Lytechinus pictus: one gene and its partners. The protein of the gene in region 1 purifies or fractionates together with the protein of each later gene. This does not show direct contact. Links are inferred from orthologs where the notes say so. Each region holds a gene or a part of one and is shown on either strand. Other genes may lie near its edges. The genes, in order: nipped-B-like protein A, structural maintenance of chromosomes protein 3-like and structural maintenance of chromosomes protein 1A-like.

Evidence for each region.
Region 2: the proteins of nipped-B-like protein A (region 1) and structural maintenance of chromosomes protein 3-like purify together in Homo sapiens (affinity purification with western blotting; 4 studies listed by BioGRID, with this or other methods). This does not show direct contact. The link is inferred for Lytechinus pictus from reciprocal best matches to the Homo sapiens genes NIPBL and SMC3.
Region 3: the proteins of nipped-B-like protein A (region 1) and structural maintenance of chromosomes protein 1A-like purify together in Homo sapiens (affinity purification with mass spectrometry; 3 studies listed by BioGRID and IntAct, with this or other methods). This does not show direct contact. The link is inferred for Lytechinus pictus from reciprocal best matches to the Homo sapiens genes NIPBL and SMC1A.

Annotation. Positions count from the first base shown.
Region 1 is NC_087255.1:30,315,675-30,326,145, forward strand, and holds the start of nipped-B-like protein A, read right to left. Parts: upstream 5,002-10,471; 5' UTR 4,853-5,001; intron 558-4,852; 5' UTR 537-557; coding exon 473-536; intron 84-472; coding exon 1-83. UniProt on the Homo sapiens protein: Plays an important role in the loading of the cohesin complex on to DNA. Forms a heterodimeric complex (also known as cohesin loading complex) with MAU2/SCC4 which mediates the loading of the cohesin complex onto chromatin.
Region 2 is NC_087256.1:20,111,257-20,122,151, forward strand, and holds the start of structural maintenance of chromosomes protein 3-like, read right to left. Parts: upstream 5,315-10,895; 5' UTR 5,170-5,314; intron 4,089-5,169; 5' UTR 4,017-4,088; coding exon 4,009-4,016; intron 3,303-4,008; coding exon 3,224-3,302; intron 2,631-3,223; coding exon 2,513-2,630; intron 1,714-2,512; coding exon 1,599-1,713; intron 862-1,598; coding exon 801-861; intron 1-800. UniProt on the Homo sapiens protein: Central component of cohesin, a complex required for chromosome cohesion during the cell cycle. The cohesin complex may form a large proteinaceous ring within which sister chromatids can be trapped.
Region 3 is NC_087247.1:37,510,997-37,521,544, forward strand, and holds the start of structural maintenance of chromosomes protein 1A-like, read right to left. Parts: upstream 4,227-10,548; 5' UTR 2,938-4,226; coding exon 2,696-2,937; intron 2,056-2,695; coding exon 1,935-2,055; intron 1-1,934. UniProt on the Homo sapiens protein: Involved in chromosome cohesion during cell cycle and in DNA repair. Central component of cohesin complex. The cohesin complex is required for the cohesion of sister chromatids after DNA replication.

The DNA of each region.
Region 1 (10,471 bases):
TTCTGCTATTTGGGGTGTGTAGAGAAGGCCTTTGCTGTTGATTGCACTAGGAAGGGGCGAGGGCAGGGGCAACTCTGTCAACACTGTACACAAGAGAAACAAACAACAAAATCATATCGTAATTTCCACAACCCCCAAGATCCTGGAAAATGTAAGAAACATATGAATATAAAAAAAATAAAAAAAGGAGTCAGGGTTTGTTGAAATTGATCAGAAGAAAAAGGTCCCATTAATAACATAATAAAATTCATATTGAGTCATTTCTTTTAAAGTGTAACTGTAACCTGTTCAACAAGTCAGAAGCAAGATACGTAAATAAGTTAAGCTGCTCCAAATTGATCAAAAAAATCTTGGGTACCGATTTCATATCGACATGTCCGAATCTCTCTAATCTGATATTAAATTCTTTACATTAATTCTTTTAAACTTATATAAAATTTTAATATTGAAGTGGTAAAAATAAGTGACTTACAGTCTGTGAGACTTGCTATTCCTGCAAGAGTTGTAATGGGAACACTTGGCACTTCTCCATTCATTCTGATGATAGGGGTTTACAACTGCAAAATAGAATAAATATGAGAAATCAACTACCAGTAATATGCAGTCCTTCACGTTTAGAAATTCGTGGAGCTCTAAAAATCGCTCTACTTATTTTTTTGAGGAGCTCAATTGAGCTCCTCAGAATCGCTCTCCTTGAGGAGCTCAAATCAATTCAATACAATACATGTATGGTATGATAAATTGTAGATTTTTCTTAACATCGTATATGCAATAGCTGTGTAGCTATTAATTAATCTGTGGTGAAACTAGGCCTGGGTCAATACTTTTACAAAATATCACGCTCCTGCTAAAAAAAAAATTTAAAAAATTTAAAAAATTTCACATTTTACATTTTTGAATCCATGAAATGGCCATCTATTTTCCATAATTCCTCAAAATTATTTTGATTTAGTTGAAAACTATCAAAAAAATGAAGAAATATTCACCTCTTTCCTGATTCTGATTTGAACTTACCTCGGTAAATATTGTAGTCCCACATGTAGACTTCCATGGTGTTCATGGCAACACCATGGAAGTCTACATGTGGGACTACAATATTTACCGAGTTTAAATTCAAATCAGAGTCGGGAAAGAGGTGAATATTCTTCATTTTTCTGATAGTTTTCAACTAAATCAAAATAATTTCAAGGAATTATGGAAAATAGATGGCCATTTCATGGATTTAAAGATGTAAAATCAATGTGAAATTTTAGCAGGAGCGCAATTTTTTGCTCTCCTTATTTTTTTTTAGGAGCGCCGGCGCGATCGCGCTCCTCAAAAATGAAGGTCTGAATATGCATATTTATTCGATCTAAATTAGATAATGGTTAAGCAATGTGATTGGGGATCTTGCATCAAAGATCTAAAAAAATCTTAGACTTCAACTCATACATGTCTGGAATAGGAGGAGGAGGGATACTACGAAAAGTCAACAAAACATACAAAAGAAAATCTGATGTTTACATGTACAAGTGTAGATCAGAGGTTATTGTGCATTGCGACCATTGTCATGTGTCTCACTGTATGTTTCTAACACACAATATTTTTGTTTCCTTGAATTATCAATTTTTTTATCACTGCAACAATGCAGCTACAAAAACATAGGCCGTATTCTGATGTCAGGTTTAACTTAGGCCACGGTCTAACTCTGTGCTAAAATTTTGAGAGCCAAAAACTAAAAAATTCTGTTTACATTGTATATTTTATATGTTTACTGTTTTGTTTCCATTTGCTTTTATAATAAAGAAAATTACTTCAGTTATCATTCCCAGCAGTTACGAATGATTTGAGTGTCATGTGAGTTAATAAATTGAATGAGTACTAATAGAGATTTGTGCCCCAAATGGCTCTCCAGAGTTAAACCACAACTTAAAACCAAGGCTCCGTAACACAAAGATTAGAGATCAATCGCTAAATGAACTGACCAATCAATATCAATGTTACACACGCATTTGGTTTAAAATACTGACCAGGGACCAAGCGGTGCGGTTCTTTCATATTTGCAATTCATCGCAAACCTTTGTGTTACAGAGCCCTGGTCAGAATACGGAATATAGTGTTTAGCATGAGATATTTACACCATTAAGTTGCTACTTTAAGTATTTACCCATCAACTTTGAAATTCAGATATTATTATTGACCCAGCACGTTGAGGATGGAAAAACCAATCCTCATACATAATTTTTTTTTAAATCTTGTGTAGACAGTTTTAAATTTGAGCTATAAACAAAGGACTCTGATCTGGTGAACTTATTATAATGAAAACCATTATAATGAAAACCTACAACTTATATTGCACTTTTTGGAGACATTTTTTTGTAACGTTTGGTAAGTAAATAATTATTATTTACAGATTTCTATATAAAAATTATTGATAGTCACAATTAAAATCGGCATTTGCGCAGCTGAAATAAGTTATTTTCTCAACAATCAAGCAATTATTTTGGGGTTTAGAGCGCGATTTAAATCACCAAAATTGATCGTGGGGCACAACTTTACGTGCCCGATATTTGGAAATAGTTTCCGATATTTGGCAAAAAACAAGCTTCTGGTAGTAAGTAAATAATTTCCTTTTACCATATTTTTTTCAATTCTATTTTTTTATGACATTAATACCGGTATTCAACATTCGTACTACAGAAATACACATGATTTTTATTTGATTCAATGATTGTATTTTTTGTTTTGGTCCAATTATGCTTAAGTGTCCGATATTTGGGCACTTTACTCTAAGTTAATTGGGACACAAAATATTAACAATATTTAGAGTCTAGATCTAGAGTAACACTCCGCCTCCTGAGAATTGAAGACCCTTCCAAAGTTGGGCTTTATCCACTCGCGCACCGGAGAAATGCTGCATCTCTCTGTTCCTAAACCATCCCTTGAGTTGTCTGGAATTCTCCCCCCCTTGGCCCCCAGTGTCCGTTTGACGCACTCTACTGCAGCTGCCCACCCCTACAGAGTCACTGTCCCAAAGTCAAATACTTCTCTTCACCAATCTTCATATATTCCAAGGACGGCTCGGCTGTGGAATTCACTCCCGTCCAACACATTTCCTTTAGTTCCCAACATGGATAGATTTAAGAATAGTGTTGATACATGCCCTAAATTCGACATGCGCCGAGATTCAACATGGCAAACCCATTTCACAAGCCAGCACAAACACCAAAACACACACCAAACACATTTTTATATATGGTAAGGTGCCCCTTGTCTGCGCACATGTGTATCTGTGCGATTCTAATAAAATAAGATATGCAATGACCACAAAATTTACACCTGAAATACATAGACAGATATTCATTTTAAAAATCTGACTCAAAATGGTGGAAAAATAATGAATTTTGGGCATTTCATGTGACGGCCTCAAAATGCAGCCTTACTTATCAAAATCATTGAATCGTGTGTAAAGTGAATGGGTGCGCAGACAAGCAAGGGGCACGTCACCATTGTTTTGTTCGATCTGAAAATGACCGTCCATGACTTTTTCCAAGAAAATCATATATTTCTTTCAAATTTTCACGAGATTTTTGGCACACTTACTCATAAAAATATATTATAGGGAACATCAACTGAAAACTTTTGTGGAATAAAACTCAATTCATGTCTAAACTTATTCTTAAGTTAGGGTTTTAGGTACGCAGACATGGGGCTTCATACATGGCACTATCACTTACCACCAGAAAGTCCTGATTTTCACTAAAAATCCTCTTTAAAAAGTCAAAATTTCCCCCAAAAATGCAGAATATGCGCCATATATCCAGAGCACGCAGCGGCTTAGCTCCATCAGATTTAAGCAGGGTCGCCCACAAATGTGCCAAAAATGAAGAAATTATTGGTTCTGTTCAGAGTACGATAACTTTCTTGCAAATTTAGGATCGTATATTCAAAATTTCCAATCAAAAAAGAGAAAAATTCAACACTAAAAAGCATTGAATTTGCAAAAAAATCGACTCAAGACATGCTTGAAGGTCGGTTTCATTTGACAGGGGCCCTGAACGCAATGCGGGAGCGAATGATTGCCGCAACTTCCGAGTTGCACATCGTCGCATGCGGTGCAATTCAGCGACTCTCGCACGCATTGACTTGAACGTGCAATGCACTAGTACGTCTGCGTGTACACGTATGTCGAACGAGGGGCAGGGGATGCCGGATGTTGAATCTTGGCCGTGAAACATGATTGATATTATGATAATGATACATTCCAAGATTTTATGAATTATTTATTGAGCTGGAATTTGAAAATGAACATTGCAATTAGTTAGGCTACCATATATTTAACAAACACGACATTGGTGCAAAACTGCAAATAGAGATCTAACGTAGTACTAGATTCTATCTGTTTTTTGTGAAAAGAAATTTTATTTAGGGCCTAGGGGCCTACAATAAATACAAAAATTTAGTCTTTTTAAAATTTTAGAACAGAAAATATTGCAGAAAAGCTGTAGGCTAGGCCTAGTGTTAAATAACAATAATCTTGGCTGTGCATGTTACAAATACAAGTCTACCGACTCTGACTAACAGTAACATCACTGCAGAGCAGTAAAACAAAAACCCTTTTGTTTAAGCCCTCGATTCTGAATTGCACAGTCACTACGGAGTACGGGCACGTCGTCGTAGACAGATGCAGCCCCTTCTTCCCCCGTCTCCGGCATACGCCGGGCTACGCACCTATTGAATTCCCGCACAATATGCACAGTGTGTGCGGCGGCCAGTATAACAATAATTTAGTGAATGGCACCCAAGCGAAACACACGACAATAACACACTTCTCAAAAACAAACGTGAAAATCATACTCCGTTTATAACTTACATGAATCTTAAGGAACCATGAGGTTTCATGGAAGAATGAAAAATGACAGTGAATATGTCATAAATCTACCGGTTTTCCGTAATTTTTATCATGACTAGACGCGCCAAAACAACAAAACCGCATCACTTACTTGTAACATTAATGTTATTGGGTACTAAATAGTAGTGCGCGCATAACTTTTTTGATAAATTGAACGAATGCCCTTTTCTATAATTAATGTAATATAAGATAGCATGATGCATTGAAATAAATTTTTTCTCTGTGTGCTTAAATTCCCTTTTCTGATCTTTGATTACATTTTTGGTCACTAACTACTTTTTAATAAAAGTGCACGAATATTCAAAATGGCGATGTCTATCAATTTTACTTCCGACACTATCGCAGTATCGTCTGCCGTACATTGCGCGAATGCCATTCATTATAAAGGTCAAAGTTTAAATGGATATTTACATCCGGTGGTCGTTCCACGTGCAGCGTAGCTAGCTGGGACAAAACTGTTGTGTGTCGGCCTAGGCTAAGGCTAAGTAAAATACTTTTTACTTCTCGGTTTTTCTCATTTTTTTAGAGGGGACACCGAGATTCTATGTTGAATTAATACCGAGAGGCAGATGGATCGATCAGAGCTCCGTAAGCAAGTCTACAAATACCGGTACCGGGTATATTATTACAGAGCTCAGCCTATCCTGACCAGGCCCTGACTCCACTCTCCAGGCAGCGCGGCGGTAGCTGATGTGATTGCTGCCTGTTGTAGCCCACCAGTCGTAGAGGAATTGCCCGCTAGTTCAGCGTGAGTTTGCATGGGCCTAACCCAGAGACCTCCCGCCCGCGCAGCGGGCGGGAGCCCAGAAGCTTACCGTGTATTTGACCATATTCACCGGACTAGGGTGATTTATGGTCTAAATATTTCTCCAAATGAATTGTGAAAACAGAAAGTATACAATTACCACGATTATATGGATGAAAGTCTAACGAGTGGCAGTTTCCTGACATCTGGGAACAGACTGGAACCTCAAAAAAACGAAAAGTTCTCTCCTTCTACCCCCGTTTCGATCGGCCATTTTTGTTAAAAATCGTAACAAAATGGCCGATCGAGACTGGGGTAGAGGAGAGAACTTTTCGTTTTTTTGAGGTTCCAGTCTGTGCCCAGATGTCAGGAAACTGCCACTCGTTAGACCTGTGTGTGAATGACAACAAAAATCCGTATCAAAACAAAAGTAGACGGTGAATTTTTAAAGTAGATGGTGAAAAGGGGTAATTTTTCATGAGGAATCTGCTTATCACATTTTTATTTGCCGCCAAGGTAATCCTTTTGCAGCAAATGTAAACAAAGGGAATTGGTCTCCCAAACTGGAGACTGTCTCTGATATTGGATACCCAAATTCTTTACAAAAGTCTCTGATATCAGAGATAATCTCCCACATTGGAGACAGTCTCCAATATTGGCCGTGCGCCTCTACTGACCAGTGGCAGTCGGGCATGCAACTGGAAATCCTATCTGGAACCAGTTGAGTAACTGGAAATGACTTCCAACTGGAACCAGTTTGGTAACTGGAGATCCTAACTGGAACCAGTTGGGTAACTGGAAATGTCTTCCAACTGGAAATGACTTCTAACTGGAACCAGAAGGGTAACTGGAAATCCTATCTGGAATCAGTTGAGTAACTGGAAATGTCTTCCAACTGGAAATGACTTCTAACTAACTGGAACCAATTGAGTAACTGGAAATCCTAACTGGGACCAGTTGGGTAACTGGAAATGACTTTTAATTGGAACCAGTTGGATAACTGGAACCAATTGGATAACTGGAAATGACTACCAATTGGTTTCCATTTGGAACATTTTCCAGAATTTTACCCAACTGGATCGTCCAATTGAAACCAGTTGATTTGCATATTATCTGCCAATATGTACAGATTAATATTTTATGTGATTTATCATCATTTACAATGTATCTATTCATTTCTTTTCAATCTCAAGTACGTGCCACACTTTTTGAGATAAATGTTTAGAATACTTGCAGTGAAAACCATGTTCATAAATATAGATTATAATTACAATAGGTTAAAATAGTACACCACTAACTGTTACCAAAATACATCAAATAAAACATATTTGAAGATCTTCCATATAAATATATACATATGAAAGTCTGTATTTTAATTTTTATCAATGCCCTTTACATTGGTATTAATAGACATATAACACTGCTTCAGTGTTGGCATGAGCAATAGTTAGTGCAAATGCTAATTAATTTGTAACTAATTAAGTTAATTCCAATTGGATCCAGTTGGAAACCAATTGGTTTCAACTGGTTCCAGTTGCCTCCTATTGGTTTCAACTGGAACCAATTGAAACCAGTTGCCTCCAATTGGATTCAACTGGTTTTAATAGGGAAATTGGAACAACTGGAACAAATTGAAACCGATTGCCAACTGGTTCCAGTTGCTCAATTGGTTTTAACTGGAACCAATTGGCAACTAGCTGGTTTCAATTGGAACCAGTAGTTCCAATTTCCATATTGAAACCAGTTGGCCAACTAGTTTCAATTGGTTTTGCTCTAATTGGTTTTAACTGGATTTTGGTCCTGGGAGTTGTTCCAATTTCCCTGGTTTCAATAGGGAAATTGGTACAACTCCCAGGACCAAAATCCAGTTGAAACCAATTAGAGCAAAACCAATTGCCAACTGGTTCCAGTTGCTCAATTGGCAACTAGCTGGTTTCAATTGGAACCAGTTGTTCCAATTTCCATATTGAAACCAGTTGGCCAACTGGTTTCAATTGGTTTTGCTCTAATTGGTTTCAACTGGATTTTGGTCCTGGGTGGCTACAAATTAAGTGCAAATTAACACACAGCACCACCCTCCCAAAGTCTTATTCTTAAAGCTAGGAAACCAACTGAAAACCCAAGAAGAGAAGCAATCTTATTGGAAAGAGTAAAATGAGAGGAACAATAAAAAAAAAGGTTTCATCAAAATTGTTTATGAAATAAGCAAGTTATGGACGTTTAAAAAGTCCTGTATTTTCTATGGGGACCCTCAAATTGGCAAACGTGCTTCAAAATGGCTGATTTTGTGGACAACTCTCCATTTTGTTTCGTACACAAATTTTCAGATTTTCCTCATCTAATATCTTTCAAATTGCATCTTGCCTCCTGAGCACATCATTTGTCATGGGAAAATATAAGTCACATCACATATGTCAAGATCAGGAGGAGATAATGTGAAAATATGTAAAATAATTAAAGGGGAAAATCTGAGAATTAAATGCGGAGGTGTCAACAAAATCAACCATTTTGAAGCACGTTTGCCAATTTGAGGACCTCCATAGAAGTACAACAAGACTTTCGAACGTCCATAACTTGCTTATTTCATAACAGGTTTTGATGAAACTTTTTTAATTTGCTTCTCATTTTACTCTTTCCAATAAGATTGCTTCTCTTGGGTTTCGGTTTCCTACAGTATAACATCATCATGATCATTACCTAGGCTATGATAACAAAATTAATCACATCTTGACTTGACATTTCATTTTTTGTCTGGCATGGCCTTGCCCTTGGCCCAAATTAAGCATGGCTTGGCTGAGGTGAGGGCATGAAGCTGCTTTTATATTGATTTTGCTGAATGAAGTTCGACACAGACCTAGTGGGCCGTACCCCTGTGAATTGTAATCACTTTTCCTGTTGCTGCAGCATGGTTAGTCTGGTTTTGTAAGAAAAAAGTTTTTGTTCAACTTGCTCTTTAAAAAAATTTAAATTCTGCATCAAGTTGTTCCCCAAACTTGTCGTCTGCGCAGTCCCCCTTATGTGCACACACGTGTGTCTGCGCAATTCTAGTTGAAGAAGATATGCAACAAACACAAACTTTACACATGCAATACATATATTCATTAAAAAATCTGATTCAAAATGGTTGAAAAATAAAGAATTTGAAACAGAGATTTTGTGAAATAAGATATTCATGTTAAATCTTAACTCAAATCGTTAGGTGCGCAGACTTGGGGACCACTATCATACTTGGTAGTTATGATTTTGGTAGATGTGACTGTGAGCCCATGGTGAGAATGATGGGGTCAAAAGGTCAAATAATATGATGGCATGTCCATCGATCCCCTTTAAGTTTTTGTTCAACTTGTTCTAATTTCTTTATATCTGCATCAATTTTTATCACACTTGCCTGGGTCAAATGGTTTGTTGGCTTGGCCTTGGGTAATATCACATATATATGTTTGTTGCCAAGGATGATGGGGTCAAAAGGTCAAATAATATGATGGCATGTCCATCGATCCCCTTTAAGTTTTTGTTCAACTTGTTCTAATTTCTTTATTTCTGCATCAATTTTTATCACACTTGCCTGGGTCAAATGGTTTGTTGGCTTGGCCTTGGGTAATATCACATATATATGTTTGTTGCCAAGGATGATGGGGTCAGAGGTCATCAAAAGGTCAAGTTTTTGTTCAAATTTATATAATTTCTTTATTTCTGCATCAATATAGTGTTTACACTTGGTACAAATGATCTTTGGGTATTAATTACCATTTGTGTGTGTTAATTGTTGAGGATGAACGGGGTCACAAGGTCAAGATTTTGCTCAACTTGCTCTCATTTTTTTTATTTCACCAATTATGATCACACTTGTACAAATTGCCAATACCACATGTGTGGTCATGAGGATGATTGGGTCAAAGGTCATCTATGGGTCAAATGATATGAGGTCATGTCCATTTTTTCAAGTTTTTGTTCAACTTGCTCTCATTTCTTTATTTCTGTATCAATTGTGTTTACACTTGGTAGTTGATCCTTGGGTAATACTACGTGTGTGTTCATGAGGATGATAAGGTTAAAGGTCATCTTGGGTCAGAAGGTCATATTGCATTGATCACAAAATCAGGCGAGACTGGTGGTTCGTGAACCGCCTTGTGTGAATTTTATCCATCTATTTTTATTCACCAAGACACCAGGGGCGGTATTCTGAAAACGTTCTTATCTTAATTTTGTTCTTATCTACGTCACAATCTCAAATTGGTATTCTGAAAACGTTGTTATCTTTTTCTTATCTTTTGTTCTTATCTTTTTCTTATCTTGCTAAATATCCTATGCTGAGCGCGTAAATGTATTACTCGTGCATATAATACAAAAGCGCGCTAAAAAGATAAGAACAAAATGTAGATAAGTGGTATTCTGAAAACGTTCTTATCTTTTCTCTCTCTTATCTTTCACAATATTTATGATATTTCAGATATCTAGAGGGTTATCATATCTCACGATGTCCGCGTTCTTTCTTGCTTAAAATCGATGGCCACTAGTAACAAGTACCCACAAATATTCCTCCCACCCTTTCTTTCATTCACCCTTTATTTTCCCGTCTCTTTTTTCTATCCCTTTTTTCTTTATTTATTTTCTCTTTTTCTTCCTTTCTATCTGTCTTTCTTCCTTTATAGTGTCTGTCTTTCTTCCTTTCTTTAAGTTCATTCTTCATTTATATCTTTTGTTTTATTCTTTTGAATCTTAATTTCTTTACTTTTCTTTTGCTTTGTTTCATTTATTCTTCATCTTTCTTCCTTTTTTATTTTCCCTTTTCATTTTATCCCTTTCTTTCTTTTCTTGAATAAGTCTTTATTTCT
Region 2 (10,895 bases), on another chromosome or scaffold:
TCCCACGTGCGCTTATCTGTGTTGGGGAAGTTCAGTCTGAACATTTTTCAGCGTAGATTTCCAGATTTCACAAAGTTCAATTTATGTAACTGTACCAGATCTAGATCCTCGATGATATACTGACAATTAAGCCTGGTTTTACAGACTTTCTCATGAAATCAGTGTTTACTGCAACTACTGGAATTTCTCTTTAATGCGATCAGGAATTCATTCAATATGATTGAACTTAATATCGTGCAGAAACCAATATGCATATATATAATGCAAATTTAGACCTTTGAACCAACTCGCATATAAAATGAGCTGTGACCTCTGACCTACGGACTCCGAATTCAAACTTAGCCTGTATTTTGGTGTCATCTACCTACACACCTAAAAAAATTTAAATCCATTTAATATTTTTCGAGTTATTGCGCGGAAACCAAGTGGGGGGACGGACGGAAGGACAACGCTTAATGCCCCATCCAGACTTCATCTGCGGGGGCATAAAAAAAAGATCATTCAGTAATCACATTAGCCATTTACCCAGTGTTTTTATTTTTGTTGGTCCCAGGGGAGAGGGACCGGATCATGCCGAAAATTTGCAAGATGGGAGAGAATGATGTTATCTACAGTTGCATAGCTCAACTTCACTACATTTACACATAATATTTTATGACTTATGCTAATTTATACATCCAATTAGAAGTTGGTTGTAAATCTATTTCAAAAAGCCCTAGAACAGTTTTTTTTTTTTCAGAGAGACTGTGCATATTTGGTACTTTTCTGAGGCATATTTATGATAAACATCAATGACTTACATCTTCAAGTTTCTTCCTTGTGTCCATGAGTTCCTGGTTGTGAATAGTATACTCAAGGGATCTAAAGAAAATAAAACACAAAGTTTTTTTCAATAGTGTACTTTAAGCCTATTTCTAGCAAGAGGTGGATGTTGCCATTCAAATTCATTACTACATTATATAAAAGTATAATGTCCTAAAACAGTTAAGGTGTGAATGATAAGATTATAAAACCTTACCTTTTATTGGGTAAATTTTGCAATTTTGCATGAACGTTTTGATTGGGTGTCCGATAAAGTAAAATATCCCTGTATTTTCTTTTTTAATAAAAACCATTCTCAAGCATGGAATGGGCTAAAAAAATTCAGGACATGATTCTATTATCCAATTAATAATTTAATATAATAAGTGATAAAAGGGTAATTTTAAAGCAAAGTAAAAACATTATCGAGAGAGGGTGCTAGAAACATTAATTATCAAATTTCAAATTTGCACTTTAACAGAATCAGCCATTGGAAGATTGCAAGATTGAAATGTTATATATTAGAGTATACATGGCCATTTCAGCCACTGAGCTGCACCTTCTGTTTTTAGTGAGCCTTGGATTGACTCTCAATTCACATTATTGGCCCTTTACCAAAGCTCTATATAGGCTTAAAAGGGTCTAAGAAAATGAAATATGACTTGTGCTGATGAGCTTGTTTTAATGGAATACTGGAATAAATAAAACATGATAAAACTGGAATGCCTTGGTCTTATTCCTACATGATACCCTTCTTCAATAAACCCTTCTAATTATATCCCATTTCTCATACCAACCTCCTCATCTTATCCCATTTCTGATACTGCTTGAGTTCTTCCTTCTCTTCCTCCAGTGTCTGTAGTCTTTCCTCAATGTACTTCAACAAATCTTGAATCTTTTCTCTTTTACCCTCTGAAAAAGTGTAATATAATAATAAGTCATATGATCAGGGTCTTAAAATAAAAGGTTTCTCTTTACACACGACTTAACATGTTACTAAACTAGGGCTGACTGCTGTCCATATGGGAAAGGAAAAAAAATTCTCCAAAAGTTGCTGGAAATTTGCATTTCATAATCATATCTATATAAATCCATGAAATAACCATCTACTATCAAAATCAATTTGAAATATTTGTATTTAGTTGGAAACAACCAAGAAAATTTTGAATATTCCTTTCTTTAAGGACTATGACAGAAGGATTCAATTGACGTCACACTAGATCTAGGCGAGACAAAACCTGAGTTTTATTTCTCAACAATTCACATTATCTTCCTATAACTTTGAATATGTTATGTCAAACCATATACAAACAAAACTAAGAATAATTTTGCTGACTTTTGTTTGTGTTGAGCCGGGTGATCACAAATGTATATATTATCATCATTGCTATTATTTAAACACCAAACAGAGTACAATAGAATGATGAAATATGGCTTGACAAAATAAAAAGGCTTCCTCCACTGCAGGTCCCAATAGGCTAGTCCCAAATGTGGTCTAGAGAAAGAAGAAATTAAAAATTGTCTTTTCTTCTATGGGTTAGTCAGCGGTGATGTTTAAACATGATAGAATCTAATTTATAAAAAAAAACATTAGCATGCTAATGAGAATAAATAGCAGAAAATTTGAACCAAATAACAAGAGGGTATGTGATCCGTTTCATTATAAAAGGAGATGCATATGCTGAAAGGATGATATAAAAGAGTAGCAAACCTGTTTCTTTGAGAATTGTTTGACTCTCTGCCTTTCTTTCATCATAGACTCTGGTACCAGCCACTTCTCTCAATAGTTTAAGACGCTGAGAATCTGGGGCCGTAGCCATCTGGTTAATCTGCCATGACAAACATTCCAGTATGCAAATGGTTTAAATAGAATACCTAGGCCTAAGTCATTACATGGTTGGTTACAGTTAACCAGCAGGGTAATAAAAAAAATAAGAACTACCCCAAAAAGTGGTTGAAATTTCACATTTCACATCTTTACATCCATGGAATGTTCATCTATTTTCTATATTTCCTTGAAAGTGATTTAGTTGGAAACTATCAAGAAAATGGAGAATATTCCTTCTTCCTTGACTCTGAAGATTGTTTTCAGTTGATGTCACACTCTATCTACTACATAAAAATCTACACATGGGACTACAATATATAATAAAAATTGTAGTCCCATGCCAGTTAATAACTACTCTTTTCAACTTATGTGATAAGAAATGAGGATCTGAGATAACACCATCTCTAACTTACTTATCGATAGTAATAAAGAGGCAAAGTATAATGGTAACAGCACTCACCATAGATTTGCCCCAGTACAAATTTCATATTTATAACTCATTTTACATGTACATCTGATTTGTTTAATATACTCGTTTTATTTCATTCATATTTATTCAGATTATTTTGCTGTTTGACAAATAAAATTCCATACCTTTCCTTGTTTGACCACGTAATAAGGATTACTCCTGGAAAATCCTGCACTCTCCAGCAAATTCATTACATCAGTTTTTCTGTAGTCAATAAAAGATATAGAAGCCACATTATTGAAAAAAATATATTTCAAAAGGACACATATATACAAGGGTCTTCTTTAAAGGAACCCAACGGTTGAAAAAAAAAACAGATGCAAGATCAAAAATTAAATGCGACATAATTATTTATAAACAACAAATAATAGAAGTCTGAGACTCTGAGTTATGGAGACTAAGTTGTACCAAGCAATCAAAAGATTGAATTGTACAACACAAAATGGATGCATACTAGCAATGGTTGACTGGTGTTATAGGGATCCTTATGAAATGACTAGCTAAGAGCTAATCATGTGATATGCATCAGTTTTACTGTTACAACAACCATGCATTTTTTTTCCAAGGAAAGTTGATTTGCACATGGGTGCTTCTCGCCCCTGATTGTGTAGGGACATAAACGCGGTGCCTAGTGGGCTGGAAAGGCTTGCTAGCTAAGTCAACTCATTTGGAGGAGTTACTCAACTGTGATGTCACAAAATCAAAACAAAATTCATAACTGATATTCTTTGACATATTTCCATCCAACCTTCACCATTATTTTTTTTTCTTTTTTTCTGCCTTAAATAGACCAACTTGTCAACAGGGTGAATTTCCCATAAGTCTGCAACTCACCTACCACCAATGTGGCTTAAGCAATATAAACTTGACCTCTTGTTACTACTCTTTACTAAAAATGGTATCAACTTACGTGACCATTTTCTTGTCCAAGAAATACTGATCTTTCTTAGATCCAATGACACGACGCAAGGTCACCTCTTCTTTTTCAATCTGTAAAAATAGTTATGATCATGTATATATGAGAAGTGAATCCAGGGTCCCCGTCTTACAAAGAGTTACGATTGATCCGATCAATCGCAACTATGGACGACCAGCAACGTCAACATCTATTATGCATAACAATTTTGTTGAACTTTGGTTCACAACACAAAAAACAGAAAATAACGGATCTTTTACCAACACAGATGAACTTTCATAATCGTATCTAATATGCATGTTTCTTCAAAATATTTTCTAGCGATGATGTATAATCATGCAATCATTGTTTTCTTGAAAATTCACTGCGCTTCTCTTCGCATACAAACGACATTGTGCAAATTTTTCGTAGAAAAAAATTATGACACTGATGGATTTCCATCGAGTGATTGATTGGATCAATCGCAACTCTTTGTAAGACGGGGCCCAGGTCAGTGATGTATCCTCGACACAACCTTTATCAAGGGCAAGTCCAAGCTAACAAAACATTGATTGAATAAAAAGACACAATCCAAACAACTATAATGGTGAAAATACCATCGGAATCACATGTAAGATAAGAAATTTCCTAACATTTTAAAATTTTGCGTATTCTTCATTAAACATCTTTTTTTTTTTCATGTGATTCATGAAACATTTATATGAGCAACAAGGTGATATGCAAATATGAGTCAGTGATGTCACTCACTCGCTACATCTTTTGCATTGTACTGTATGGATTGTACAATAATTCAATATCTGCAAATTTTACAATAAGGTTTCTATTCATCAAATCACAAGTCGTAAGATGTCAGCACTTTTCAATGCCTTTTTTGTAAATCCCCAGGAAATTTCCCTAAAGAAAAAGTATATGTTTGACTTGTTCATATGGCTAGAATAAACGATTTTGATACTGATGGGTGCACTCTCATTTGATTGGGGACGAGCTAAAAACACATAGCCAAAAAGACATAAAGTGTGGGAGAAATGACAGATGAGACAAGACAAAATTATTTGAAATAAGGACAAAAAAAAAAAGAGCTCTGTATTCTTTGAATTTATTGCCGAAATCTGGCTACCCCTGAAAAAATTTGCTAGCCCACAAGTGTATACTTACAGGAATCCTGTTGTCGCTGTTCTCAAAGATGATCTCGACAAAGGCAGAAATGACCCTTGGACCAGTACCTTCATGCAGTAAACCCTGACGCTGCTCAGGACGTAGATTGTTGAACTCGTCGCTGAGAACAAACTGGATGGCTATAGATAAAAAAATAATAAAAATTCATATTAGCACTACCTGGAGAAAAGGAAGGCAACTCAATAAGCCAGTTCACGGTTAGCTCATGATCAACTTTTCTCAAATGACCTTTGTGAATTTTCATTAGGATAAGCACTATCATTTTCAAATGTAGATATTGCGTAAGCTTTACCGGTAGGGTATTCAAATTCTAGGAACAAAAGGCATTGTATAGACCAGGTGACTAGAATAGTACATCAGGGATAAAGTTTGGAAATCTGTTTTATTGTCTGCCTTTGGCACATTTGACTATTGTTTAGGCTACTGTCAAATACCAGTGATTATGAAGGCTCTATTTAATTACTCTTCAGCTTGGATGTGATAAAATGAATATTTTGAAAGGAATACATGAATAATCATCAAATCACAAATGCCTATGTCGGTGAATTTGAAAGCCACCTTCATGGTTTATCTCAAATGACCTTTTTCTGCTCGTGCACAGTTTACAACCGTGAACAGGCTTATTCATGCTAAAAAATTAAAAACAACATTGAACAAGTCAAATGTGAAAAATTGTAACTGGACTAATCTGCCGTACTTACTATATCAGGTAGTTCGGTTCGGGGGCTAATCTAGCCGATATTTGTAGTGCTTTATTTGTCACAACAGGGAATAATTTCTACTGGTTTTGCACCGCAATTTGCTCCACATTCTTTGAAGACTGTTAGTAATCAGAGTTGCCAAGTTGTATTTTGCATTTTCAGTATTCTTATCCCCAAAAATCAGTATTTTGACCAAAAAAAATCAGTATTTTTACCGTGTGAGATGAATATTTTGTATTTTTCCCAAAAAAAGTGCATTTCATAATAAAATGCTTGGCGCACTCGCCCATCACGACGCTCAAGCTGCATGCAAGGTAAAATGCGCACTGCTTTTGCAGATGAAAAAAAAAACATTGAAACTTGTGTATATCTCACCCTGGTTTTTACAAAATGATTGAAAAAAAAAACAAGTTACCTGGAATTACATTGATCTAATAACCATATTTGTGTACGTTTTATGAAATAGAGACATATAGAGATGATTTTTCCCAATAAATTACGATTTTGTAATAAAAAACTGCCGTATTTTGGTTGCAAAAATGTACTAAATACGGCTAAAACGTACTGGTTGGCAGGTCTGAGTAATGCACATGTTTGTTTTTTTGTGCAGCAGACTTTTAAATAAGACTAAAAAGAACTTAGTCGGGAGCTTTTCTCTAATGATAAAAAAATGCTAATCGAATATGGGAAGAGAAATTATCCCCTGCACTATTCCCATGAAAGATGGATAGCAACCTTTGTATGCCTAAATCTCACTTTCCATAAATCCAGTATTTGGGAAGGTTACATTCACAATACCTACCCGCTAATTGATTAAGCAGCAAGTACAGTGTATGAATTATTTTTTATTCATCTATTACATTACTAGTGCATAGTTTCATAGTCAAGATAGAGCTCCAAACTATTGTCATATATGGAGAAAAGAATAATAAAAATATATTCTGTACATTGGAATGAGAGCCCTCAACACTAACTGTCATGTGGCCATGCTACAGCAGCGCTGTACATGGCTATGCTCAGTGTGTGTGCATAACAGAGAGGTCTCTAATACCTCGATGCATACACACACTTAGCCCTAAACCTACTGGGGAAGCAGACCTGCCAACCTCTGGGAATGAAAAATTGTACCGGTATTCTGTGATTAAAAAAATGTATTTTTCCCCAAAAAAGTGTATTTCATAATAAAATGTGTGGCGCACTCGCTCATCGCGGCGCTCAAGCTGCATGAAAGCTAAAATGCGCACTGCTCTTGCAGATGAAAAAAAACAACATTGAAACATGTGTATATCTCACCCTGGTTTTAACAAAATGATTGAAAAAAAAAACAAGTTATCTGAAATTACATTAATCTAATAACAATATTTGTGTAAGTTTTATGAAATAGAGACATATAGAGATGATTTTTCTCAATAAATTACGATTTTGTAAAAAAAAAAAAAATAAAAAAAAACGTACTTAAAGGGATTGTTTCACTTTGTGAGCAATTAAAAAAATTATCATATTGCTTTTTGAAAATGGTATGAACATTTGACTAACAGCTCAAAAATACCCATGTGAAAGTTTGGGATCATAACATGTTCGGGAAGTGTTTTTAAAAACTGAAAATCTGAGGCAATGTTTGAAGAGAAAAATGCACTTCTCGACGGTTGATTCATGATTCTGTTTCCAATTTAAATCGATATTATATAGCGCCACCTTGTGATGTATGCAAGAAAGTAGGCGGAGCTTACCACGGGGAATTTCGCTTCTTGCGTGATCTGTGGGCGAAGTTAGTTTGTTTTGGGTTTTTTCTGTGTCTCCGCTCGGTGTGTGCGATACGCGATCGATGCATGTGCGTTATTGCCTGTGTGAAAGGGTGTAGCTGTGTGTGTCGCTTGTGGGGGAATATCATAGGTCCATGATCATACTGTCAAACTGTGTCGAACTCGTGAATGTCCATTCCGTCTGTTGTCTGTACATTTGAATATGCTACATGTATGCCTCATAATGAACTTTGTAGACTTACAGACCATGGGATTTTGATGAATTTATATTTTGGCGACGTAAATTAGTAGCAAATAAAACGACTACAACAGAAAAGAACGCGACAAACCGGGGCTACAAATACAATCTCGGATCTACAGTGTAGAGTAATAGTAGTTTTTTTTTGTGGATCATGGGGGCCGGGGATGGAGCGTGATTTTCCAGAAGCTATATTGTGCCCCCCCCCAAAAAAAAAAAAAAAAATCCCCTCTGTTCTTTTCTTTAGTTTACCTTTGCATGCACTACAAGATATATCCTTGTGGTTGTTGATAATTCTCTTTTACCTGGTCACGATATAGCAAACGTCCGTCGACTGATTCGAGAAGAGAATGCAATATAGCTCCATCCCGGAGCTCCATGTAATGCACTATCATGGAGCTGTAATATGTATCCGAACTCCACTCTGGCCATGTTACGTCCACGTAGTCACAGGCCTTCGTGTGTCATGTGCATGTTTACATGCACGGGGCATAGCTGGGTAGGAACTCGGAATAAAGGCAGTGACCTCTCCTTCTCCCCCCCCCCCCTGGCATGGAAACATCCACCATCGTGGTTTTTTTTTTTTTTGTGGGTGTGTGTGTGTGTTTTTACGTTCTCCACGAGCTCCCCCAACAAAGATATTCCCATCCCGGATTTCCCGTCCCATCAAAATCTTCGGTAGGCCTATCTTCACGTAAGATGCTTATGAGAAACTCCCGGGGAGAAACTATATGATCAACATGATCAACGTATTGCCCCCCCCCCCTCCGATCGATCGGGGCCTATCCGTTTTGGACTTTATTTTGGAACGTGGTAGATAGGGTAGTTGCAAACCCAAAACATCTCAACTCCTAGACCCCGGACTATAATGACTATTAGACCTACAAATTATTATCCATAAACTTTGTTGGTTTTTTCATTTTTTTTATTTGAATGGTTTTTTTGTAAGGGGTAGGAATCGTATTTAATTTTATCCATGATTGGGGTCAATAATTCTTTCAGTTTCTCCGCCATATAATCCGCTCATGACATCTTTCAAATCATATCACTTTTCTTTTACATTTTCCATTTCTTTCGGCCGCTCTTTTCTTTTCTTCTGCTTCCCCTCTCTCGATCCTCCTTCCGTAAATTCTTTACAGTAAAAAAGAAGTCTGATTTTTTTTACACATCCCTGATTACTATATGAACCTTACGTGAAAATAGTGTTTTGTGTTCTTTTCTAGCTCGTTTACCTGAAAACCTGTAAATTGGTTATTGATTTTCTTCATACAATTTATATGAAACCTCAGCGTATATGAAGCATCCTTTACCTTCGATCTGGTATTGTTTATATTGGTTGGTTATATTCACGATTAAAAAAAATGCATAAATATAAACAAAATAGCATTACATAATCAAATAATTAAAAAAAAACCAATATAACAAATTAACAATATAACAGTAATGAAGCTTACAATGCATGTAATACAGAATCGTAGGTATAGACCCGTTTCAGATTGGCTATTGATAGCCAACCTGTTCTTCCCCGGGGTCCCTAAAAATAAATAAATTAAATTAGCATTACAATATGAAAATTTCTAATAAATACAAGTATAACAAATCAATATAAAACAAATGTAAAATAATATATCCTCATGATATCATTCATTTGGGGAAAATAATGAAAAATGAAATAGTGTAATTAGTCACACGTTATCAATCACGAAAGTTCCCTTTTCTGCTCGATCCAATCACTGAAACATTCAAATTCCATGGAACAATTAGTCATACATCATCACCACAACTATCACATAACAATACACTTAAATTCGTGTATTTTAAAACAAATTCTTGTGAATGAGCATTATTGTATTATTATATTAAAAGGCCGTCTCTAACAGGGTATGACCCCCCCCCCCTTCCCATGTCGGGGTAAGGGGGAGAGGGGGAAAATAGAAGTGAGGATGGGGAAGAAGAGAAAGAAGAAAAGTGGAAGGAAAGAAAAAAAATGAAAAGAAAAGAGGCTGTCGGACTGACGCCTACCGGAAAAATGATATAACTGTTGGGTCACGAAGGAATGTTCCATTACTCCGTGTATATATATGCTATACCAACAGTGATTAGAATATACTGTCACACAGGGCGGTTCTAATTAATTGCTTCATGTTCCGAGAGAGATTTGAATGTATATAGGTTTTAGGTCTAAATCGCCTTACAATCAAGCCCATTCTTTTTTACGTACAGTGATTAAAATTGCCCGGCCATATGTCCCAGTCGCCAAAATTGTTAGCTCGCGCTTCGCGCTCGCATCATTCAGACTGTTCCATTATCATCTTCACAAGTTTCTTACGTGTTGGGCAGCGCTTTTAAGATATTCACTTTTATGTCAGTAAATTTAGTTCGCGCTACAAACAGCTTGTTCTTTATTGTTTTACAACGTCCAGTCATGATCAATTATATATAAAAAAATATATATTGTTGAGCATGATATACCCTTCGTATTCATTATTACAAGAAGTGCAAAAGGAATGTCTAGTTTTTATGTCTACATGTAAAAAATAGCTTATTGTGCTTCGCGCTTGCAATTATTGTTTACTGAGGTACATATAATTTGATATTTACATTAAAAAAACCTGCTTAGAATGTCCAGTTGTCGGGCCATAATAATATTCAGCTCGCGCTATTCGCTCGCATTGTTTAATTTAATGTCCACCATGTCCACAGTGGCGTATCTAGAACAAACGAGGCCCGGGCAAGTGCTAAAATCGCACCCCTTTCAAAATATAGGTCTATTGTGTATATACTCTGCACTCGACCAGTCAAAATAAAACATAATATTCTAGTCCGGGGTTTTTTATCATGAAAATGATGCGTATCTAACGAAAACAACGTATGCGAGCGCTAAGCACGTGCCTATTATTTTCAGTATTAAGATCTTAAAAAGGAATATTCTAAGCACTTTTTGTAATAATTAACATGATGCATATCCAGACAATGAACGCATTCGCGAAGCGCGAGCCGAAA
Region 3 (10,548 bases), on another chromosome or scaffold:
CACCCACTAGACTGCCAGGGTCAAATAAAGTTAACTGAATTACTGTAGTCAACAAAGACATTTGACCTTATCCAGTGGGTGCTTACATAACAGCTAAAGCTGATAAAAGAGTGAGTACTGTACAGGTATGAAAAAAAAGAACAATATATAAAAGGGAAAGCATAACATGCTTGATAGTACTTTCACTTCATCTTAACTTATCTATATTAGTATTAAAGCATTTACATTTTATGAATAAAACATAAACAACAATGCATTATGTAAATTGTCACCTTGGACATTTTTTTTTTTCAGGACTAGTGAAGACATTTATTCTGTCTTAGTCTTATACTTTTAGTGCATATGTTTAACCAACTGCATACATTCCTGAACACAAAAAGGGCTGCTGCATTGTTAGGAGCTTGCACACTATTCTTTTTTTGCTTAATCCTCCTCTTTTCTGCTACACTGCACAGAACTGACACAAAATGAGGCCCCCCCCAAAAAAAAAAAGATGAATGCAATTAAATTGTTTTCTGCTGCTTGTTGATAGGGACAGGCAGTGAGATTATTGGTAGAAATTGAGGTGTGTGTTGGAGGGAGCATTGTGAGCTAGATACCCTAGGCAGATCATATTTCAACCTTGGTTGGGGTAGGTTATGTTCACCTCCTTGTGTGTGAGAGATGTTGCTAATGTGTCCTAAATGTTGAGACTGGTGTTAAGAGGGCTTTAAGAGATTCAACACTAGCAATTACAGGCTGGCAAATCCTAAAATCCTTCATGACTGCCAAACACGCCATGATTCAGCAACAAGGACCGGAATCACCAAGATATCCTTGCAGTTTTGGTCTACCGCTTAGCTGGGCTAAGAGAGAGTCCCGTGTCTGTCAAGAAATAGGACACCGGCTCTGTGCCTGACTGTACATTTGTTGCAATAGCTATACCTAATTTCAATGTAATTGGGTCTTTGACGGACTTGCCGTCAACAACATGAATGATATTGAGGAATGACGCTGCGTTCCTGATGATTACCTATCACTTTCACTAAGACCATCAACTCGAGAAGTTTTCGTTCGTCAAAGTGTAGAGGTGTTGGAATTGGTCATCCACTTTCATCGAAAGAAAGTAGGACTTATCCGAAATCGATAGAATGTTATAGATAATTCAAAAACTCCTTTCTTATTCAAACAAACAAGGGAGAACTCTTATCATGATTTGTTTACTACATGCAATGATTGATTGATTTCTTCAGTAGGTGTCCACTCAAATTTAAACAAACAAAATCAGTCTTAAATGGTCGGATGAAATATTAGATGCTTATTGCATGCTTAATAAGCTGCCATTGTGAGAATATTGAATTAAACAGTGGAAATATATACTTCATGCTTTTACCATTTCTCATGTTATTGGTCGTGTGTTATCCAACATATTTATCAATAAATTGATCCTAAATTCAAAACCAGGCAACAAACAAGTGACATTTTTGGCGACCATGGAGGGACCAATAACATGAGAGATAAATCAAGAGATAGCAAGGATAACAGCCACGATAACCAAATCCTGTAGATTGATTTATCATACGTATACCTAAATAATCTCACAATCACGATGATAACATGGACTCTACCAATGGGGGCGCTGTGACAATACTTGGCATATAGATTTTTAAACTTGCCACCCACAGCAACAATCATTTCTATCCTCGATTTTTATTTGTTGTTGAGAAACGTCACTGTGGTGGTTAACATTGATTGGTGAACTTATAATTAATAGAAAATTTGCAATAGGGACCTGGCATTTGATCTTAAGAAAGTTTAAAATACATATCAGGTGTGATAAGTGATCATTGCTGGGACATACATGTAATCATTGTGGCTAGTTTCACATCTCACAAAAATATCAAATTAATACTGGTAACTGTTTTCAAATTATAAAAAATTTCATTTTCCCTTACCTGGAACACTAGAAAGTTCCTAGCTTTGACAAGGATACCAATCTTCTCCAAGGCTTCTGCATACTGTGCTGCACTAACCACTTTATTATCAATCCTGTATTCTGAAGAAGCTCCCATGATTCTGAATGGCAGTCAAATAAAATTGCAACACAATCAACTTTTCATGAATAAACCATGACACATTTTCTGAACGCTTCTAACTGTCTATGAATTGCATCAAAGCTTGTAACAATACTTGAAGCAAATTAAACAAGCAATTTGACAACAAATCAAGGAAATCCACAGAACTACCATTTCTGACAAAGAATGTCAAGTGGCTCTTCTATCTTCCTACATCTATTGATTGCAAATCTTGACTCAAAATCAATCATCACAAGTTTTACTTGAAATTTTGGAATTGAATGCTGGTTTACTGATGCAAAAAGAGAAAAGAAAAAAAAAGAACTGATTTTGCTATACCACTATCACCCATAAAGATTGATAAATTTACAAGCTATATTTCCACTTTAACCCCCCCCCCCACACTATGCTACTACTATTTGCCTAAAACTGTAATATGATTTTTCACTTTTTCCAACTTGCAAACATCAGAACATTTGTTTTGCTGTGGAATATGGACATAAACTACAATAAATTTCACATTGAAAACTGCAAACAAGTTTTTCTGCAAGATGCAACATCCCCTTTGGCTAGGGATCATGAAGGGCACCAAAAATGTTTTTTTCCCTAATTGTAAACAAACAGAATGAAAATTGATTTACATCCGGGTAAACTGTGTCTCGCTACCATCTTCTTCAGAATAGATTGCTGAGACTGTAGCCCGATTAGATGCTGGTTTGCCAATAGGAGCTCCATGAATCAGCTCAGAAAGTCGTTTAACACGAAGATTGGATGTTTTCTCTCCCAGTACAAAACTGATGGCATCCATCAAGTTGGACTTTCCTGCAAAATTACAATCAACATTCAAGAATGCAAGTTTAGTATATCTACAATTTGCAAGCATAGGAGAAATATTCAATATTTAAGGGATCTTAATTTACTACCGGGTATATGAAATTTAAACTTGCAATTACTATTTGATATTTACACTTGCAATCAGGAAGATTATCTTCAAGATACAAGTAAATGCACAGGGGTGGTATTCGTTGATGCATTTTATCTCAAGATAAAATATTTTGTTTATCTAGATTGTTGAAATCAGTGAAATAAATAATATCCATAAATTCTCTCCAAATTTGTATTCTGAGAACAATTTTTTTTTTACTTTATATCCTAAAGGCACACATATTTATGATGCAATTTCAAATGAGAAAGGCTGTTTCATAGCACTCTCACCAATTCATTTAACCAATTAAAATCCTTTCAACCAGCTACCACTACCAGAAGGGACAAAGGAGGGACATTCATGGCATTGATGATGTGAATAGAGATCTATTCTTCACATCAGCTATCACTCAAGCAACGAGTGGCCATCTATACAAGCTGTTTATGGAAAGGAATATACTGAATACGAGACAGAAAACTTTCAGTGTCAGAGGGGTCAATGACTGGAATTCTTTGCCATCTGAAGTAGTTACAGCATCAACGGTCAATAGCTTCAAGACTCGGTGATCTCACACTCATCAATGAAGTTGGCAGAGTACAGCAAGTCTGCATATGCCGACTTAAAGGGGAATCCAACCCAAATAAAAACTTGTTTTTATAAGGAAAAGAAAAATCAGACAAGTTGATAGGTGAAAGTTTGAACAATATTGGACAAACAAGAAAGTTATGAATTTTTAAAAGTTGTAAATATTGGTAATCACTTTACCCATGGAGGCTTCAAACTGGCCGCATATGGGATGTCAGAGTGATGTAAGGCAAGGACTACTCTTCCACGTACTCCAATACATATTATGGCTAAAATGTCATTTTCCCCAAAAGTTTTATTTCAAATTATATTTTTCTTCCATGAGGACATAAAACAATATACTACCTGGGTTATATTTAGATTACTGCCCCAGGGGAATGGGTACTTAGGAGAAAACCGCAAATCCCTGATCATAAAGTACATGGCCTATGGGAAAGTTGTCCTTGCCCCCTGTCATAATTTACTTACCCAGTTGCCAATTTGAAATCTACATAGTATTGGTGATCTCAATTTAAAGCAGCTATAACTTTCTTATTGCTTGTCCGATTTCTTTCAAACTTTCACCCTTCTGTTTAATTTATTTTTCTCCTTCCTAACACAACATTTTATGGCCAAGGCTGGATTCCCCTTTAACCCAAGACAAGACAAGGTTTGGTCTTCGTTGCATTATGACCACCCATGGGAACAGTGACCCTTTTCACTGCATGTTACAGGACACAGAATGAGAAATTTAATACCCTAGATAGGAAGACAACATACAAGATTGACCTGGAAACTTGTCTGCAGAAACAACTGTATTTTTCCAGTAGATCCGGTATAAAGGTATAAAAGAGTGAGAGAGCACCAACAAGCCTTGTCGTCATAGTTGTGTGCATTTGACTTGTGTATTACTGCGAGTGCCATACAAATGCATTACGACTAGATCTAGAGTAAAACCCCCAAATATCGGACAAAAATTACTTAAACTCCCTCCCCACAACTACAGGGACCCGCACTCGCGGGGGACTTGCATGCATGTGATACATTAACATACCTGCTGAAGTCTCGATAATTTTCGATCGATACTGGAGCGATCTGATCACGAACCAAGACCATTTCCCGCATAGACAATGTGACCGGATATCGTTATCGCTATCGATACTTTCGCATGCAGTCTGAAGGAATTATTTTGGCGACCATGTAGTCATGACATGATCTGCGCGATTGACCAATCAGCAGTCTCCGAATCGCTGTGCAGAGACTGTCTATCCGTTGTACACAGTCTATGGACAATTTGCCACTGTGCGTTTTGAAGATCAATTTATAGATAAAAATTATGATTTAACAAATAAAATTTAAAACTTGATTATAAATAATTACTACTACAATAATAATTAGATCTATTTATAATCAAGTTTCAAAATTTATTATGGTCTAGAACTATTGGTTGAATAATAATTTTTATCTATAAATTGATCTATGAAACGGCATTTTGTAACATCGCTTATCGAAGCTACGTCATCAGTCATGTCAGTAGAGGCGCTGGTCCAAAATTTGGGATTGTCCTAGAAAACAAAGATATCCTCATAAACCAAGACAAATCATGTCTTGATAAATTGAGATTGTCCTTGATATGGGGAGTTTTTTTTTTCACTTAACCCTGCAGGACATAAACGGCAATTACGGCGTTGAGAATGCTAAAAATAGATTCAGTGACCTCAATAACCCTCCAGTTCACCGTCTATTTTTCACAACTTGCCATCTTCCAATAATCTTGTTATGAAACCTGATATGTTTACATTGACTAGCCCATTTAATTGGGGTCGGCACTTGACAGGAGAATGAACTTTCCTAGATTTCTTGTGTGGAGAAATCTTTGAAAACTGACAGTCCCTGTAAACCGGGACGATCCCAATTTTCTGACTAGCGCCTCTACTGAGTACTGGTCATACTCATAACGAAGCAGTTCAAGGCCAAGGGTAGGGTCATGCCTATTTGTATTTGCGGTGTTCACGAATGGATCGAGGGATGGAAAGAGTTCCATATGCACCCCCCACCAAAAATAACAAAAGATTGTTGAGACTTCCGGTTCGTTCACTTCAGATTTTTCTGTCATTTTTTTACTGTTGCTTACCTTAGTTGGGACTTGAACTCACCTCGTTTTATCTGCAGTCAAGACCTCTTTCCGCTACGCTTGCGAGAAGCGCTGATACCAGAAGGGGTATATTTTAACGATTATCAGCCGATAGTTCGACTAGTCTTGACTCACAGACCCTTATTTTACTGACTAAATAAATCAATGTCTATGGACAATTACACACACTAGATCCTGCTCGAAATTTGACGGAATAAAGCCATATTTTGGTATTTACACTCCCCATCATAAACTTCTAGATCTATTTTAGGTCTAGATATATTATTCTGAACCTTTTTGGCCTTCTCCATGTTTTTATTTTCAATTTTAGTGGGGGGTGCATATCATATGGAACTCTTGCCCGAGGCCAAAGGATCTACACGAGATCGGTCTGGTACCAGTGGTACGAAACCTCTCATTTTTCATATTTATACTAACGCATTAAAGGCGTATGACTGAGGTTCGATAAAATTAAAGTCAAGACTAGAGAAACAAACTGATTTCAATTTTCACCCTGGGCCTGGCTCTGTCCACCCACGGCTACATCTCAGCCGCCGACTACAGAATAATTGAAGGCACGGTGCATTCAACAAATAACGTTAATTTACGAAAAATTAATACAAGGACTTACAGAATGAAGTCCTCCTACGAAACTTACGAAACGATGTGAAGTCAATTCCTCATAATTCGATGAATATCCCTCAAAATGCGTCATTTAAGCGTTGATTTTTCTTCTCGTTGACAAAATACGAGAGCTACCTTTCTAGCTCTTAAATTTTTCGTCTAATGAGCGAAAGAGGGCGCGTGATTTATCTTCATATCAAAGACACTACAATTGAAAGACTAGACACAGAAATTATCTTACACGTAAATCGATGCAAAGCGTTACGCGAAGTCGGCAAAGTGTTCAATCTTTTTACTGTAAAGACTTTGGTGGAACGTTAATTGACAAACGAACGGTAGCACTTGCGGGGCTTTGTTCAAGGTACATAGAATTTTCTATATTTTTTGTTTAATTTGTCATCGTTTTGAATATCGTCAGCAAAAATAATAAAAAAGTACTTTTTTTAAGTTATTGCATTTATTGGGGTCTCTATTTTATCAAACAATTATTGGAATTGCGCATACAATGAATCATGAATCTAGTTTAAACAAGGCAAACGCCAAGCGTTGTCTCGCCTGCATATTGCAGTCCTGAAGAGACTGCATGTCAAAACTATGCTATATGACTTCTGAGGCTGCAACTTCAAGAGATGGACCTCTGTTACGAGTTTGGCGATCCCACCTCGAAGCTATAGAAAGTTATTGTGTGTACAATACAGCACAGTGCCAGTCATGGAAAGTTCATTGACCTTTGACCTTAATCAAATTCAACTCACATTCGAACTTGACCTGCACCTTCAAGAGATGGACCTCTTATATGAATTTGGCGATCCTACCTCGAAGATATAAAAAGTTATTATGTGTACAACACAGCACAGTGCCAGTCATGGAAAGTTCATTGACCTTTGACCTTTATCAAATTCAACTCATATTCGAACTTGACCTGCACCTTCAAAAGATGGACCTCTGTTATGAATTTGGCGATCAACACAGCACAGTGCTAGTCATGGAAAGTTCATTGACCTTTGACCTTATTCAAAATCGACTCATATTCGAACTTGACCTGTGCCTTCAGGAGTTGGACCTCTGGTATGAATTTGGTGATCCCACCTCGAAGATATAGAAAGTTATTATGTGTACAACATAGCACAGTGCCAGTCATGGAAAGTTCACTGACCTTTGACCTTAATCAAATTCGACTCATATTCAAACTTGACCTGTGCCTTCAGGAGATGGACCTCTGTTATGAATTTGGCGATCTCACTTCGAAGCTATATAAAGTTATTGTGTGTACAACACAGCACAGTGCCAGTCATGGAAAGTTCATTGACTTTTGACCTTTGACCTTATTCAAATTCAACTCATATTCGAACTTGACCTGTGCCTTCAAGAGATGGACCTCTGGTATAAATTTGGTGATCCCACCTCGAAGATATAGAAAGTTATTATGTGTACAACATAGCACAGTGCCAGTCATGGAAAGTTCACTGACCTTTGACCTTCATCAAATTCGACTCATATTCGAACTTGACCTGCGCCTTCAGGAGATGGACCTCTTGTATGACTTTGGTGATCCTACCTCAAAGCTATAGAAAGTTATTGGGTGTACAACATAGTACAGTGCCAGTCATGGAAAGTTCATTGACCTTTGACCTTAATCAAATTCGACTCATATTCGAATTTGACCTGTGCCTTCAGGAGATGGACCTCTGGTATGAATTTGGTGATCCTACCTCGAAGCTATAGAAAGTTATTGGGTGTACAACACAATTGTTGACGACGACGACGCCGGAAATAGTGATACCTATGTCTCGCTCCGCCACGCAGGCGAGACAAAAATACCACCAAGCTGAATTAAGGTAGCGAACTGTATTAGCGCCACCAACGACCTTCCTTTTATTTCCGTGGAAGAGACGTGCGAAGCCACTTTCCAGGCGGAGGTAAGCGATTTTGCTCTTTTTTGTGTCCTTTTTAAATAAAAAAATGTTAAAAATTGATAATGGAACACTTTCTACCAGAAAAAGCCCTGGTGAGTAGCGGAATGGGTTTCGGCTAACATCATTCACGTTATGAAGCGATGTTAACGACAACTCTAAAATCCACTACAAAAACATGTTGGTTGTGCGAGGTTCGTATAGCATAAACTAACCTCGCAATAGTGTGAGTGGGCTCTGTCTAACTCTAACTGTCTTATGGGGTGTTGCAAGAAAATATTTGCAATCAATCACAAATATTCTTTTGCAATTTTACAGTTGATTGGTCACTTTTAAGTTTTAACTTTGTCTTTAGAAAATCAGATTACACTCCTTGTTTCATGGAGCAGATTAGCAATCAATCGCAAATTTGCAATTAATTGCACCGCATTTGCTTGATTTCGGGAATGAAAATAGACTTGCAATTGATCGCAAGTTTCTTGCAACCAGGGTTGCCAACTGGCCTTTTTTCCGGCCAGATTCCCGAAATCTGGCCGTAAAAAAAGTAGCTTGGCCGTGAAAAAAAAAAAATTCACGGCCAAACAAATTTGGCCGTATTCTGGCCGTAAAACAGAAATCTTGGCCGTGAGTTTTCATTTCTGGCCTTTTTCATAATCAGATAGAAAATTTGATCAGAAAATCACTTTAAATAGGTCTATGTATATACAAATGCAGTCAGGTCTACGGCATATACATAGAGATAGAGTAATATTAGTATACATCTCTATGGGCATACACTAACTTATTAGTGCATACATGCATTGCATGTCTGTCTACGCATGACCGCAATCACAGCATGCGTTCTCAAAACGCGCGATTAGTTGCGTGTGGTGGAGGGGATTCTTATTTTTATTTGGCAACCAGTCACCAACATCATATTTTCGCCATCATATATATTATATTATTAACGTTTGTTTTCTTAAAAAAAAGTAATTGAATAAAGTAAAATTCAAATATTTAGTTCTTTTTCCTTTTTATTTTTTCTTTTTCTTTTCTACGTCTTTTTTTCTCTCTTCTTTTTATTTATAGGATATCTACTAGGATTTAAAATCGAGTAGGTGTTTCTCACAATTTAAAATCAGGGCTTTTACTAAAAATATGTGATAAAAATATGCCTACTAGTATGCAAGTAGGATGACAGAGAAAGAAATGAGGAAAATCACAGCTCCAACAGGGGCGGGTCCAGCTTATCTGAAGGCTGTGTAGTAAATTTGCCATGTACCTGTAGTACCCTATATGTATTAGTCTGTGTATTAGTCTATGTATTGATCTATGTTCATGTATATTAAGTCTGTGTGTGTGCTGTGTGCATGCGAGGAGCGCTCCTGATTGGAGGAGCCTTTATATGCTCCTACGCCTGCTACGTGTGTGCGTTGCACAGCACGTACACAAGCTGGTGCTGAGAGATTAGATCCAGACTAGACACCAGAGAGAGAAGACCCCGAGACGCCATCGAGTGAGGACATCCCAGAAGCTCCCCACTCGGCGCCATGGTCTGCAACCTGCATTAATTAGAAGTCTTGAAGAAAGCTGTTATCTGTATCTACCTGGTGGCATCGTCAGTGCAAGTGTCAGGTGAGTATTAGTTGTTGTCACTGTCTTGTACCGTCGAAGTAACCCATTTGTGTAATTAGTGAGTCGTAACCCGTGTCAGTGTCGTACTTGTAATTAACCAACCACTCGTGCCATCGTATATATATATCGTATGTGTCTCGTGCCATCACATAACCCTCACAACTCCCATTTTTACAACATTGGCGATTGCGAGTTTTCGGATCGTCCTGTGCGCCTATCATTTTGTTTTCATCATTTCATGTCCGTTCATATTTCATATCTGCTCATGACATTGATTTGTGAGGGATTTTGAAGTGAATAACGAACAGAGAGTGAGTGAGAAGTTTTCCGCTCTCTACCGAGAATTGGAAATATGCGTGCCGTGATTGCGTGGATTCGCATGCATCTCGCACACATCTTGTTTTAGTTTTATCATTTTTCCGTACATGATATCATTTCTTGTTTTATACAAGTGGATTTTGGTATATATTTGCCATATCTACGAAATTATTTCATGTCCATTACGTTGCATTTTCATTGCAACCACGTGGTATTCTCTGTGCACACCAAAGGTGCACACGCCCTTCATTGTTTGTTGCACTTGCATTTCTCATCGCATTCTTCGCGAGTCTCTTCTATTGTTTGGCTCGCGATCAAGAATTTCGTTCCTTGCATATTTTTGCGTCGCTTACCATCTCGTTGCTTTTGTTTGAGAATTCTTTGAAATCTGCTTCTAGGCTT